Linked DNA regions of Oryzias latipes. The protein of the gene in region 1 purifies or fractionates together with the protein of each later gene. This does not show direct contact. Links are inferred from orthologs where the notes say so. Each region holds a gene or a part of one and is shown in the gene's direction. Other genes may lie near its edges. The genes, in order: tctn2, tmem231 and tctn3.

What was found.
Region 2: the proteins of tctn2 (region 1) and tmem231 purify together in Homo sapiens (affinity purification with mass spectrometry; 3 studies listed by BioGRID and IntAct, counting the BioPlex papers as one, with this or other methods). This does not show direct contact. The link is inferred for Oryzias latipes from reciprocal best matches to the Homo sapiens genes TCTN2 and TMEM231.
Region 3: the proteins of tctn2 (region 1) and tctn3 purify together in Homo sapiens (affinity purification with mass spectrometry; 3 studies listed by BioGRID and IntAct, with this or other methods). This does not show direct contact. The link is inferred for Oryzias latipes from reciprocal best matches to the Homo sapiens genes TCTN2 and TCTN3.

Annotation. Positions count from the first base shown.
Region 1 is NC_019876.2:4,345,655-4,350,048, forward strand, and holds the end of tctn2 (tectonic-2), read left to right. Parts: intron 1-93; coding exon 94-214; intron 215-320; coding exon 321-474; intron 475-545; coding exon 546-629; intron 630-709; coding exon 710-832; intron 833-931; coding exon 932-1,006; intron 1,007-1,078; coding exon 1,079-1,168; intron 1,169-1,274; coding exon 1,275-1,392; intron 1,393-2,075; coding exon 2,076-2,179; intron 2,180-2,304; coding exon 2,305-2,452; intron 2,453-2,568; coding exon 2,569-2,703; intron 2,704-2,944; coding exon 2,945-3,033; intron 3,034-3,275; coding exon 3,276-3,397; 3' UTR 3,398-3,539; downstream 3,540-4,394.
Region 2 is NC_019864.2:27,556,860-27,561,253, forward strand, and holds the start of tmem231 (transmembrane protein 231), read left to right. Parts: upstream 1-1,620; 5' UTR 1,621-1,899; coding exon 1,900-2,038; intron 2,039-3,730; coding exon 3,731-3,897; intron 3,898-4,394. Other genes in the region: gamma-aminobutyric acid receptor-associated protein-like 2, read right to left, coding at 166-221, 971-1,004. UniProt on the Homo sapiens protein: Transmembrane component of the tectonic-like complex, a complex localized at the transition zone of primary cilia and acting as a barrier that prevents diffusion of transmembrane proteins between the cilia and plasma membranes.
Region 3 is NC_019877.2:7,548,891-7,553,284, forward strand, and holds the start of tctn3 (tectonic-3), read left to right. Parts: upstream 1-1,333; 5' UTR 1,334-1,660; coding exon 1,661-1,973; intron 1,974-3,287; coding exon 3,288-3,402; intron 3,403-3,479; coding exon 3,480-3,577; intron 3,578-3,675; coding exon 3,676-3,791; intron 3,792-3,875; coding exon 3,876-3,984; intron 3,985-4,394.

The DNA of each region.
Region 1 (4,394 bases):
AAGAAATAAAATTCCCTCACAAAACCATTTATTCTGTCATATGTAGTGTCATATTTTCATCACATTTTTGTCTTTTGGTTGTAATATCTCAAGGGAGTCAGTGCTTGGCCCATCCTTCCAAAAAGCTGTGTCTCCAGCTGTCGCATCAGCTAGTCCTTATGTTCAAGAAAGCCCACTTATCCAGTTAGATGGACAGTTTTTTGTTATACCTCAGGTAAGTTGTCTGTAAGTTTGTTTAGAACGATTGTCCTTTTAAACGATGGTTGATGTGGTTTGTTGGCAGAGCTTTAAAGCTCAACAGATGGGTTTTTGCTGCACAGGTCATCCTGGGGCGATGTGGAAGCAACACTCCCGTAGCATTTTTGAGAAATTTCAAAGTGGAATGTGTAACCCTGCTCCACTCTTGTCCAACGGGATTTCCGTTGCAGACACAATCGGCAGAACTGACCAGTCAAGTCATGGATGGGCAAGGCGGTGAGTTTTTTGTGTGCTAACCACCCTGTAGTTTTGCTTCAATGTTTTCTGAAACTTTTCTGTTGCTTCAGGAGTTGTTGAAGTGGATGTAGCTGAAGAAGTGGTCTCTGATGTAGGTCCATTTATCACCAAAAGCATCACAGTTCCTTCTGAAGGTATTTAGATGATAACATAGATGGACAATAATGCAGATTTTCAGTAAATTTATAATCAAGTTTGCTCATATTTTCTGAAGAAAAGATTCTGGTGTGTGAGAATGTGACCATATCGCTGGATTACAAGTTCTATTGGAAAGCAAATGGCCTCACAGGAATCGCACTGACACGCACCATTGGGACCATCATCTCAAATACAAGCGGTAAGTGCCGGTAATCCCCATGCAGAACTTTGTCCAGCAGGAGCCAAAATATATTATTTAAATGAATTAGTGACACATTTTGTTTTGTGTTTCAAACAGTGGAGTTAAGAACGAGATATTCTGCTGTGTTTTTAAACGGTAATTCTATGGCTGAGCCTGTGTCAGGGAACCCAGGTAAGGATGGAGATGAGGCTTTGTTCTTAAAAATGCACTGTAAAAAAAACTAAAGGATGTTTTACTTGACAGGTTATCAGGTGGGGAGGCCTGTTATTGCTGGAATCATAGACAACGACACATCCTCAATGCAAAAAACCTACATTAATGTTTGGAAACCAGGTTACACTTTCATACAAATAATTACAACTCACTTTTAACCCAAAACTGAATGCATTTCACTCAACATTACAGAAGATTAACTGCTGTTCTCTGATCTGTCTGCCAGTTCATGATGGGCTCTGTTCCAGTGCTGAGAGGGAGGCAGTTCTGTTTGGGAAGAATTACACATCTGGATGCCTGCTGCCTGTTGTCACAAATAATCTGACTCAGTGTAATCTATTGAGGTCAGTATGGTGTCATGATTTATTTACAGAACATTTGTGAAAAAGATAAATATCTTTGTGTTTATCTGTGAAGTGAGAATTGTATTCTTTGAGTCATTGAGGTCCAAAAAGCTGGAGCTTTACTTTAGTCAAAAATAATTTCTGATTTTAATGTTTTTGCCCTTTTATTCTGTTTAAAAAGGTAGGTCAATGTATTAGACCCATTCTAATAGTGTACTAGACTAAGTGCGTGACTCCATGGCCTTCTGTGACCTCGGTTTAATTTTTTTCAATTATGTGGTGCCAGTTCACAGACAAAAACATCTCAGAACACCATACAAAGAAAGCAAACAGACTGGAAAAAAATAAATCAAATCAGATAAGTCTGTTATAATTTAATCTAGTTTAATTTGAGTCAATTTATTCTAACTGTATCAAGATGAAGAACTTGGCTGAGGACATAAGGATCTAGCTTGGACTGCTCATAGAACATGAAGCAATAATGGAGATAAAATAAGATACCAGAAAGTGAAGATCTTCAGAGGTAAAATGGAAACAATGAGAGAAAAGCCAGTACTTACTTGAAGATTTTCAGAACACTAAAAGGCTGATAGTTTAACTGCAGAAGCTAAAAAAAAAGTCAAACGTGTACATTAATAGCAGAGCTGAGACAAATGAGTGCATCTAATGTTTCTGAATTTTAGAGAAACGGTCTTTAAGCTACAAGAAGGTTTGACTGCTGCTGCATACGTGGCAAAGCGTGGAAACCCAGATCTTTTTACCATGACAGATTGGCTGAACATTAGCTGTAAGTATATTGGGCCAGAAAACATCATTCAAAATTGATCACTTGTCTTTCTATTATCAATTATAATTGTTTTATTTATTTGTAATATAAGTGTACAGTCATGATCTTGCTAACTCTTAACCTAGTGGTAAGCTTGAACTCAAGCGATGCTGCAGAGGACACGTCCAGTGAATGCAGGGCGGTTCCATCCCATGTCCACGTGCAGGTTTGGACTCTTGTCACTGGGTTTGTAGGAAGCATACCTCAAAGGGAAATCTTTGCTTTGCAAGTCAGGTTTGTATCAGATGCTTACTCAAATGCAAACTGAGCTTGAAAGTACATCTTAACTCCTACTTTTTACTACAGTGTTCACGTCTTGTTTTTCATGTAGCCTTTTGTGTTTTTTTTAGCTATGGTTTGTCCACCTGGTCATTGGACTGTGGAGGAGGCAATGGGTCTTTCTGTGAAGAAAGTCAGTTGTTGTCGATCACCTCTTCAGTCACCTTCATTGACATTCCCTACAACACAGGGCCACCAAAAAGCAGGTGAATGATTTTGATAATGACTTATAAGTGCAATAAAAGTTATTCTGTTTTTCTGCGTGTTTCTATTGTTTTGTTGTTTATTTGATCTTTTCCACTTAATATGTTGTCCATGCTGATGTAATTGCTGCTGCAAATGGTTTGGTTTTTCTATCATCGAACTAATAGTGGAGTTTCTATTCTTACCTTATGTTAAATAGACTTTAACTTGTGTTGCTTTCCGTTTATTTTTTATATCATTTAGGTTTCAGATCAACTTTACAGAATATGACTGTGACAGGAATGATGTGTGCTGGCCCGAGCTCGCTTTTCCTTTCACCAGATATTACACGGGTATGATTATTCATGGAAATATACTTTAACACATTAAATAATTATTTCGCACAAATCAATTTGCTTTTCTGATAGCTAAAATGCAAGGAACAGAACATTTGTGAGCTGAGCAAGACACTCTTGTAGATTTCTAAAGTAAATCAGTATTTATTGTAACAAGATCGGGATAATCGAATTGGTAAATACAGTGTTAGACTTACTAACATTAACGTATTAACATGTACTGCTAATCTCTGTCACAGGTGAGCCGTATTCTCTGGCATTGGCAAAGGGTTTGATCTTGGTTTTCTTCTTCATCACGGCCTCAATTCTTGGATCACCATGGAGGAAAATCAGACAGGCATGGCACAGTGCTGCCTTCTGAAACCTGTTCTTGAAAACAATGACAAATTTTGTACATTTTTATTAATTGAAAGTGGTATACAAACTGTTTTTCCTTTGAATTTTAAAAAATAATTTGTTTTAATTAAGAATTTTACTTAATAAAATCACTATTTTTTGAATAATTACTGTGTCATACTTTTATTGGTAATGGACTTGGCAAATTAGTTGCTACTCCTGTCAATGATTCAATTTTTTTACAGTCTTCATAAATGTGTTTATTTTATACGTATTCTTTCTGACATCTGACATAGTACTAGTCATTTTATAGTTCAATTTCTTGTTGGTACTGGAGTTTAAATGTTCAGTGCCTCTCCTAAAGGCACACATAACAGATTTTACAAACAACGCTTAAAAAAAAAAATTCTGTTTAAAGTTTATAATTCAATTCAGTTTACAGTCTTTTTGACATCTAAACCAAAACTGGATTAGAGCAGAGAATTCTACCCAATCCTATTGGCTGATCTTCCAGTGAATCTTTTTTCCTGAGTAAATGTGTTGTCATCTATAGATGCTTAAAGCAATAAAATATCCAACATTTCTTACAAGCGAAGAAATGTTGGATATTTTAGAATAACTTTTAGTAACTTGTATCTAGACTTGTCTTGTAATCTTTTGGCGGCTCATGCCTGCTGAGGTTAAAGTCACTGGACTAAATTAATTATAGATTTTATTACCTCCGCCTCTAAAGAATGCTGCCTTTTTAGTCATCTTTATCTGTAAATCAATAGTGCCATTCACTTAAACATACTTTATTAAAGTAAAATATGTTGTACTTTTATAGTTGGTGCCTTTTTATTGCACTGTTAAACTTATTGTGTGGCAGACTGACCTCAATATATGATGGATCAATCTTGACATTTTCCTTTTTCTGGGATGTGTAGCTGCCCAATGACATTAAAAGTAAAATGTTTTTAGTCCTCTTCAATTTGACAGGAAATACTAAATCCAAAAATACATTTATCGGGGGGGGGGGGGGG
Region 2 (4,394 bases), on another chromosome or scaffold:
CTTTGTAATTTGAGAAAAAGAGGAATGACGTTGCACTCAGAAGATGCCTGACTTATCATACATAAGCATCCAGGCTGGTTGGATGTCAGAGATTTCGGTATTGATTCCCTCTGATCATCTCTGCATTTCCATTTCCGATAAAAGCACCCAGCCCCCACAACTCACCGGTACTCTGTCCGGGTATTTGTTGCGTATTTTGGCTGACTCCACACATCGGTGCTCTGAGGAAAGAGACAGCAAACAAACAGGAAGTCAGAGATTAAAGGGATCAGTGCGTCCTCTGGGGATTTCCTGTCTTCAGCCTTGAACAAGCACAACACAAGATGGGGGAAGTGTATGTTTCCCACTCATGATCCTCTGTTTCAGAGGAATAGTACAACATCTTCATGCAAATTCATTTCAGACACATGGATGTGCAGGGAGGATGGGAGGAGTGAGTGAGTGAGGGGAGGACTCCATCTAGGTTCATTAGCCCAGATAAAAGTTCTATCTTCAGAGGTGCTTCTTTAAAAAAAAAAGAGTCCTCAAGGTTATCCAATTACCATGAGAATGACAAGACAAAACTTCACAGAAGGATCTTATATAACACAAACTAGGCCTAATAGAAAAAAACAGTAAAAATAGATTAAAAAAAAGGTTGTTTTTTTTTAATCCACCATACTTTTTTAAGTAATGCATGCAAAATATTGAAATTAAAGCAATACTAGATGATGATGCAATGCTTTAAATGGCGTTTCTCTTGAGGTGATCCTAAACAACCTGCAGCAAATGCGTGTTAGCATGATCATGCCAAGCTAAGCAGGATCGATTTCCGGCAGGCTCCTGCGAAAACCCCGCGTTAGTGTGTCTGTGATGGGTGGTGGAGCCACATCGAAGGACACACAGTCCGCGGAGCAAAAAGGAAAAACACGCGACATGAAAAGAGGACATCTCTCTCTGGTTTCATAACAACAACCCAAACCCTTTTTACCGAGGGAATGGTCCTCTTTAAACATCCATTTCATCTTTGCTGGATTCCCGCACTGATGCGTGACGGCAGGGGCGAAAGGCGGGCTTCACGATCAGCTAACCCTGTTGGGGGTTCAAACTTGCAGAAATCCTGCCCAAAGCGACCAAAACAAAACGTCAACAAAGAGCTTCTGTTGCTCAGCTGTCCGTCTCGCGGAGAGGTGACGTCACCGTCTGGCTGTTGGTGCTCCTGGTGCGTTCAAGTGCGCCCAGCAGTGCTCGGTCCAAAAAAATCCTTGTAGTTGGGGCTGTTGACAGACACGCATTAATATCTAGTTTCTACATTAATATCCTTCTAGTTTAATGAAAACAACACCAAAGAAATACAAAATTAATACAGTCAGACTGAATAAACAATGAAACAAAAATGATACATTGAAATGCCTTAGAACGGTCATGGGCATTTATTATTAGAAACACAATTGTATAAAAAATTTTAATGCTTTTATTTGAGCTTTTATTTAAAATTAATAGTTCCCATAACAACGTAAAAAGATAATAATATATGGGAATTTTCCAGGCATGAAATGAAATAACTACTTTTGTGCTTTTACTTAATTTCAGGACCACAGAAGAGTTTCAGCATTCCCCACAGTTCATGAATGCATCCTGAACCATGGTAGCCATGGAAACCGAGGGACGCTGCAGAAATATGGCGGGGGGCTCGTTTCCTTACATGTTGCAGGGGCTAGCAAAATAGCATTTCAACGCGAAAAGTTATCAGAAAAATATGAATTTACTGGCGTTTAGAATCCAGAGGAAGATTTTTTGGAGTTTCTTAACGACCAGTTTAGGTAGTATCGACATTTTTACGCCGGTAATCATTTAGTCCGCTACTAGGTTAGCATCTCCAGCTGTAGCCTTACAGCTAGCTGTCTTTACACCGAACGTATGGCTTTCTACGAAGTGTACTCTCATCCGGCTGTAATTCGGTACAAAACCAGTGTTTGCACAAAGGCTACGCTGTTCCTGGTTGTTGTTTTGTGCCTAACCTACATCCCACCTCTGCTTGTTGCTTATAGGAGTCAAGGTACAGTATATATATCGAGGCTTTAAAGTGTCCATTTATTTCATTTTGAACAAAAGAATATATTATGTTTTTGTTAAAGTCTTTGTTTATGCTAGAATATAAAAAAAGGATTTTTATTATCTATATTACTTTACACGTTACAAAGCCTATGAGTAAAGCCAGGGCCTTTTAAATAAAGTTTTATTAGTCCAGTAAAAATAACAAATTAATAACATTTCAGCAATATTTCATTCCATTTTTACTCAGATTTATTTGATTTAGACAACAACTATTCTCTTTGAATGCATATGAATAAGCTTTTATATTAAATAACCCAAGTTTTTACAACTTTTGCTTTAAGTCTAGATATGAGTTGTTTTCAAAATGACTAAATCCATTTGTGTCTGTTGAAAGATTAGCCTTAAATCTGTTGGATGTGTTTTGATTTGATTGATGGATTTCATGCAGCTTTCAGCTCTAAAATAAAACAAAATATATACATATATATATGTGTGTATGTATATATAGTATCATTTTAAAATATTAGTTCCTAAACTGGTTTGAGAAAAATAAAATGACAGAAAATGTTTTTATACACTTGACATTACAATGTATCATAAATAGGTATATCTACACCTATTCATACAGTACACACGTGTGCAATACATTGAATCCATAAAATATTATGTTTTTTAAATAGAGTTTGATTAATTGGGTGGGAAAGAAGTGAATTTATAATCCCACACCTATTAAATTTTACCAAACTTTTTTTTTTTTGACATGTTTACAATTTTCTTCCAAATAGGTGGCCGAGCCTTTTCAGTGAATGGGGATCGCTGCAGTGGGATCTTCTGGGTCTGGTTCTTGCATCTGGGGAGTCCTGTAGTGTATTCTGTGAACTTGGGTGGGGCTCACTTGTGAGGACGGTTTATAATTTCCCCACAAAGCCGGATTTCTACTTTCTACTTTGCATCATTTTAGTGAATCATTTGATGCACTACTATAGTGTGCGTGCATGTGTGCGTGCATGTGTGTGTGCGGCGGGGGGCATTTTATGCATTGTATACATATTTTTTGTCTTGCTTTTGGTTTTTTAAAATTGGATTATGTTTTTATGTAAAACACTTTAAGTAACTCAAGTTGGAAAAACTGCTCTATAAATAAAGTTTTATTTGATTTGAATGTTTCAAATCCATTACAGGAACAGAATTTACGTTGTGTTATTTTCATGCTGGCTTTCATTGCACATTAGTGCCTTTGCTTGTAATACAACAGTAACCCATATTACCATTCAAAAATGCCCTTATTAATGCTGTGGAACAAATGTGACAAAAATGCTGCTATTTTGAACTGAATTATTCGAACATATTTGGTAAATGATGAATTATGCTTTTAAAACGTCTTCTGTAATTTTTAAAAATGGGTTCAAATGTAAAAAATGCCATGGAAAAGTCAGAAAAGTTGTTGAATTCTGGGTACATCAGATGGACATGTTTTCTGCATGACAAACCTTGTCAAGAAGCAAATTCCATTCCAAAAAAAAAAAATGAAGCAAATTCTATAGGAGATTGTGGGAAGTTTGGCTGAAGGATTCTAATAGAAATCTTATGCTATTTTATGTTTGGTTTTTGGTTTGATGGTAACATAGAATTAGAAGAAATCTCAACGTCAAAAAGTTCCTAAAACCTTATAGTTTTGTTTTTTCAATTTCAGGTTTCTGGTTAAAGCGAAGCACGTATGAAGAACAGCCGGTTGTGAGGTTTCAGTACCAGACTCTGATGGTTGCAGCCACCGGCACTCAAGGGGACTATGTGGCCTGGAGTACCTTCCCACACCTCAACAACATGCTGGGGCCCAACCTGCGGATCCCTGCCGTCTCTGTGAGAACACATTTGTGTATCACTGATATGTGTGACACTTTTTCAAGTCTTAAGAACCACATTCCTATGTCATTGTGTAAGCTGCATTTCAAAGCATTGCTCCTGTTGCCATGGCAATCTTTCATTGATTAGCCCTGATGAAAAGCTGGTCCATGCTTTTTGTTTCTATACTTTAAACCAAAACCTTAATGTGTCTAAAATATTTCTTTAAGACAAATATCTATTACCAGAAAAGTATGTTGCTGTGCGTTTACACACAAACCCATTTACCTAAAAATGATCAGAGTACAGACAAAGAGAAAGTACTTCTGTAGATCCACACACAGTTTTTGAAGAAAATATGACCAATAAGGTGTTAACACTGTGAGAAACGAGTTTTTTTTTTAAACTCAAGTCCACTTAGAATACTTACTGGCCCGCTGGGATCTTTGGCCCTTTTGAAATATAAGGTTTGTTCTTAAATCACATCACATTTTTGCTATACAGGCAAGCGTTTC
Region 3 (4,394 bases), on another chromosome or scaffold:
TATACAACGGGAAAAATGGATTAACAACTGTCGGTGCTTTTTGGACCTTTGGGACCAGGTTCCAATGCACTTCACTTTAAAAAAAATACTTTTAGACATGAGAGGAGCCAAAACATAATAACAGGGTAAAAAATTATGTTGGTACTAAATACTGATTGAGCTCAATTGTAGGATACATTGTCATATTGTGTCTTTTTCTTTAATAGCATTTACAGTTTTTAGGAAAACGTTTAGCTTTTATTAACAATTATTTATGTATAAGTTAGTAGGACACAGTATTTATTTTCAATATGAGATGAATCAAGTAATGCTGTATCAAATTTTACCTTTTCAAATCCAGATGTCTGAATACTTCTTTATTGCATTGCCCAGTTTGAACATCTCCACTCGTCCACATCTGAGAACCTTCCAGTTTGAGCTCTCCTTGTTTTACTTGGCTTGCACCGATGCAGCTCGAACAGAACATTTTTGCAAAAGATAGAGCAGTCATAAGAATTCCATTAATAAAACATCAGTTTGAAGCCATTAAAGATTAAAAGATAAATAGTGAAAATACTTGGAATTGAGGCCATACCTTCTATGTGTTTAAAAGCTGAGGAAAAGCAGAAAGATGGAAGAATTGAATGTCTTGCTCTTCTAACACACTGATTATTGTTCATGTTATGTCTACCTTTGAAAAATAGCACAATATATAGCTGGACGTCACTCTAAAATGGATAGTGGCCGATGCAATAACTGTAAAACAGAAAATGTTCATGTTAATTTACGACACAAGCTAGTTTTTTTGTCCATCCTTTTCAAAAAACTTTTATTTGACTCAGTTTAGATGTAGTTTTGTTAAGTGTTTGTGTCAAGTCTGTTGACATCTCAAGTCCTTGAGCTGAGGGTACAGAGCCCTGGACATGGCACTCAAAAAAATAAATAAATAGTTCCCTCAAATTAGCATTTTGAATGCAAAAATTAGTATTTTTTATGCAAAAAAATGCTAATAATATATTACGTTTTGCGCACAACATTTTAAATTGGGGAAACAATCATTTATTTTTATTTGTATCATTTATCTTTCAATTTCCTGTCTTGGGCTCCTTACAGGGGAAGGTTTCCAGTGGTGGGGAACAAGAACAGAAAAAAAGGATGGGGGGAAAAAAGGTAAAGATTTGTAAAAAGGTTAAAAGTGACTTGTAAAGAGAAGTTGAACAAAGAAGAAATTGTTTTGAAAAAGAAGTTTAAATGACCTAAATAGTTGTTTTTTTCCGGAGGACATTAAAAAACAGATAATATGGGCTGCATATATATTAACATGGTGAAGTAAAAGGACAATTTATCAAGATTTTGGAAAGCTTTGAAATAATGAAAAGCTCCTATTAATCATGTCATTTACCACTAACTGAAGGCTTTTGTTTATTGATCAGAAACGCACATGTTCGTCTATTGTAGGCGATTTACGGTAGCGAGGTCCTGAAACCGGAAGTCTTCATGACAACTTCCTTAGCAACGAGACAAAATAAGGGTGTTTGGCTAAGTAGCTTACTGAAAGGTTTTCAGATTTTCGGGAATTTTAACTATTTGATATTTAAATCAGTAATGATTAAAAGTAGCAGCAATATTATATATATACATTTACAATTTTAGATAACTGCGCCATGTCTCTAGTGGCGAAATGAACCTCTGTTTATTCCCCATATGTGTTGTTTTGTGTGCACGTTTACTTCACGCGGCCACGGAGCTTGGACTAGCTTCTGCTGTGACTAACACCCCAACAAATGTGGAGCCTCTCAGCGCAGCTACTCCAGCTCCGGGCGGGTCTGGAACCACGGAGTCCGTCACAGCCGGACTCACGGAGGGGGTGTCACCGCAACCCACTCCAGACTCCACGGTGACGGTAACGTCCACGCTGTCCGTGTCTGAGTCAGCTTTCACCGGGGCTCCAACCGCGACCACCGTCCAGAGCACAACTCAGCCTGCTTTACAGGGTAACCAAGTTGCAACGATGTGCAAGAAGCCCCAAACCTCTTTGGCTTTGAGTAAAATGCTAACTATTTAAATATTGAATGGTTTGGGAGTTTAGGTTCCTTTTTTTAGTTACAGTTACTTAGATGCTGTCATTTACATTAAGATTTCTAACATCATGTCAGCTTACTTGATGGTAAAAAGTTTACTTCACCGTGTCAGAAATGTTTACATCTGTCTGCTGTTCAGAGGTAAAGTTAATTTCATTTAAATGTAACCTATAGATTTCTTAAAGACATTGGATTTATATTTATATTTGACAGTAAGTAGAGAAAAAGCGCACTATCATGACAGAAAATCCCATATTTGACTTGGCTTTCTTTTATTTTTGGCTCAACTAAATCCACTACAGCAGGATCCTATTTGACATGGGTGTATTTTATTTTGAAAGGAACTTGTCTGTGCTGCTGTCATAGAAGTTAAAATAAGAACATAGCACTATTATAATTCAATGATCGTAAATGTTAAAAGCTAAATTTGATAAATGACCACAAAAACATCAATAAAGTCTATTTTTCTATAGGATTTCTAAACGTTGCGGCTCTCGCTGTTTCAGGAAGAAACTGAACCAAATGGCTCTTTTGCTGTTAGAGGTTGCAGAATTTCTGCCCAAAGCAGAGCAAAGGCAGAGAAATTCAAAGGCCTTTGGAGAATTTGAGGCTGGAAATGGCTGCTAAAATACCTATTTCCATCTACAAGTTTGAATAGAAATCATACATTTAATAATTTTTCTATTCATAAAGCAAATTTAAAAAAATAAAACATTTCTACTGAATGAAGTTGCAGTATTGATTGACAGAATTAGGATTTTTTATGTTAAAAACAAATACTAAACAGGTTTGCATTAATAAATACAACATATTAGTTTAATTAAAAAATCGCCAAATTTGGTTGATTTATTTCGTATTTTCGAAGTGCGAATCGATTTAATTAGTCAACATTTTTACGCTTTTAGTGTAGACAGTTTTTAAAACTATTTAAATCACAATAAAATAAAATAAATTCAAACAAGAATCTCAAAAATATCAGTACAAAAAGAAATCAGAGAAATAAAAGAAAAATTTAAGACAATTTTGCTTTGACAAAATAAAACAAATTTTTTGCCATCTATGCTGAATTATTTAAACTCAAATCCTGTCCCTTAAATGTTTAAATCAGGAGGTTTTTTTTTTGCTATTTTGAAATAAAAAAAAAAAAAGTAAAAATACTGAAGTCTTGCAAAGATATGAATAAAACACGCTTTCCCATTGAATTAGTTCTTGTTTTTATTTTCTCAGGTTGTCTTTGTGACCTGACAACAGATTTCTGTGACATTGGCTGCTGTTGTGACACCACAGATTGTGGTGTTGCCAACTTGAGCTCCGTCTTCCGTGGATGCCCACAAGCAGTCACGTAGGCGTTTATTTTCTCCAAGTCCTAGATGGTTCATCTTGGAGACGTGATCACGTTTCATTTGTTTTATTTCCCAGTCTAGGAGTCTGCATTGAGAAATGGCTCATGTTCAAAGCCAACATGGATTCTCGTCTCGTCACTGTGACCGACTCCTTCTTCTGTGTCCAAAATGACAGTTAGTAAACTGAATATAAAGCAAAATAAATGTACATCTATTTAAAAAAATGCAAGAAATAAGGTTTACCCACCAGCACAAAATATTTTTCCTCCCAGCAGATGTTCCTCCTAAGTCTGTCCCAGCAGTTAGTGGACGTCCAGTTTTAGGAAACTCCTACCACTTCTCAGCTCCAGGTCAAACGTTCATCAGTCATGAAAGAGATTTTTACCGGGTAATCGCATAATGAAAGGTTTTTACTCACTTATAATAAGTCAGCCTTAAGGATGCGTTGATTATTTGGGACATGGTTTTGCAGGTTGATGACGTTATCCAGACGTATTTCCTGGACTCTTCTGTGCGAAGCGTCCTCCGTCAGCCTTCTGCGGGGACGGTGTCGACACTCTGCATCAACCGAAACCCTGCAAGTGAGTTCACAAAGCAAAGGTGTTTATTAAAAGGGGGTCAATTCACATAGTTTTCTGCAAGAGAAGCTACAATCTGACTGTTTTAAAGTAGATAAATTAGTTGTAATGACAATTCTGAAGGCAAGATGTTGCAAAAATTGAATATTGACTATTCTTTTACAATGAATATGTAATTTTAAGATATATTTACATCAAATGTGTTCTTTCGTTCGACTTCTGATGTCATATTTAAATTAAAATAATTCAGTTTTTGTTAACTGATGAAAGGACTTTTATTGTGAAAGGTATTTATATCAAGTGGAAAACAGGAAACAGCGAGTTGCAGCCCTCTAAAATCTTACAAAAAGGACGTTAATAATGCTGTTAAATCAGGATAACATTAGATTTATTAATAAGAAGTACCAAACTGA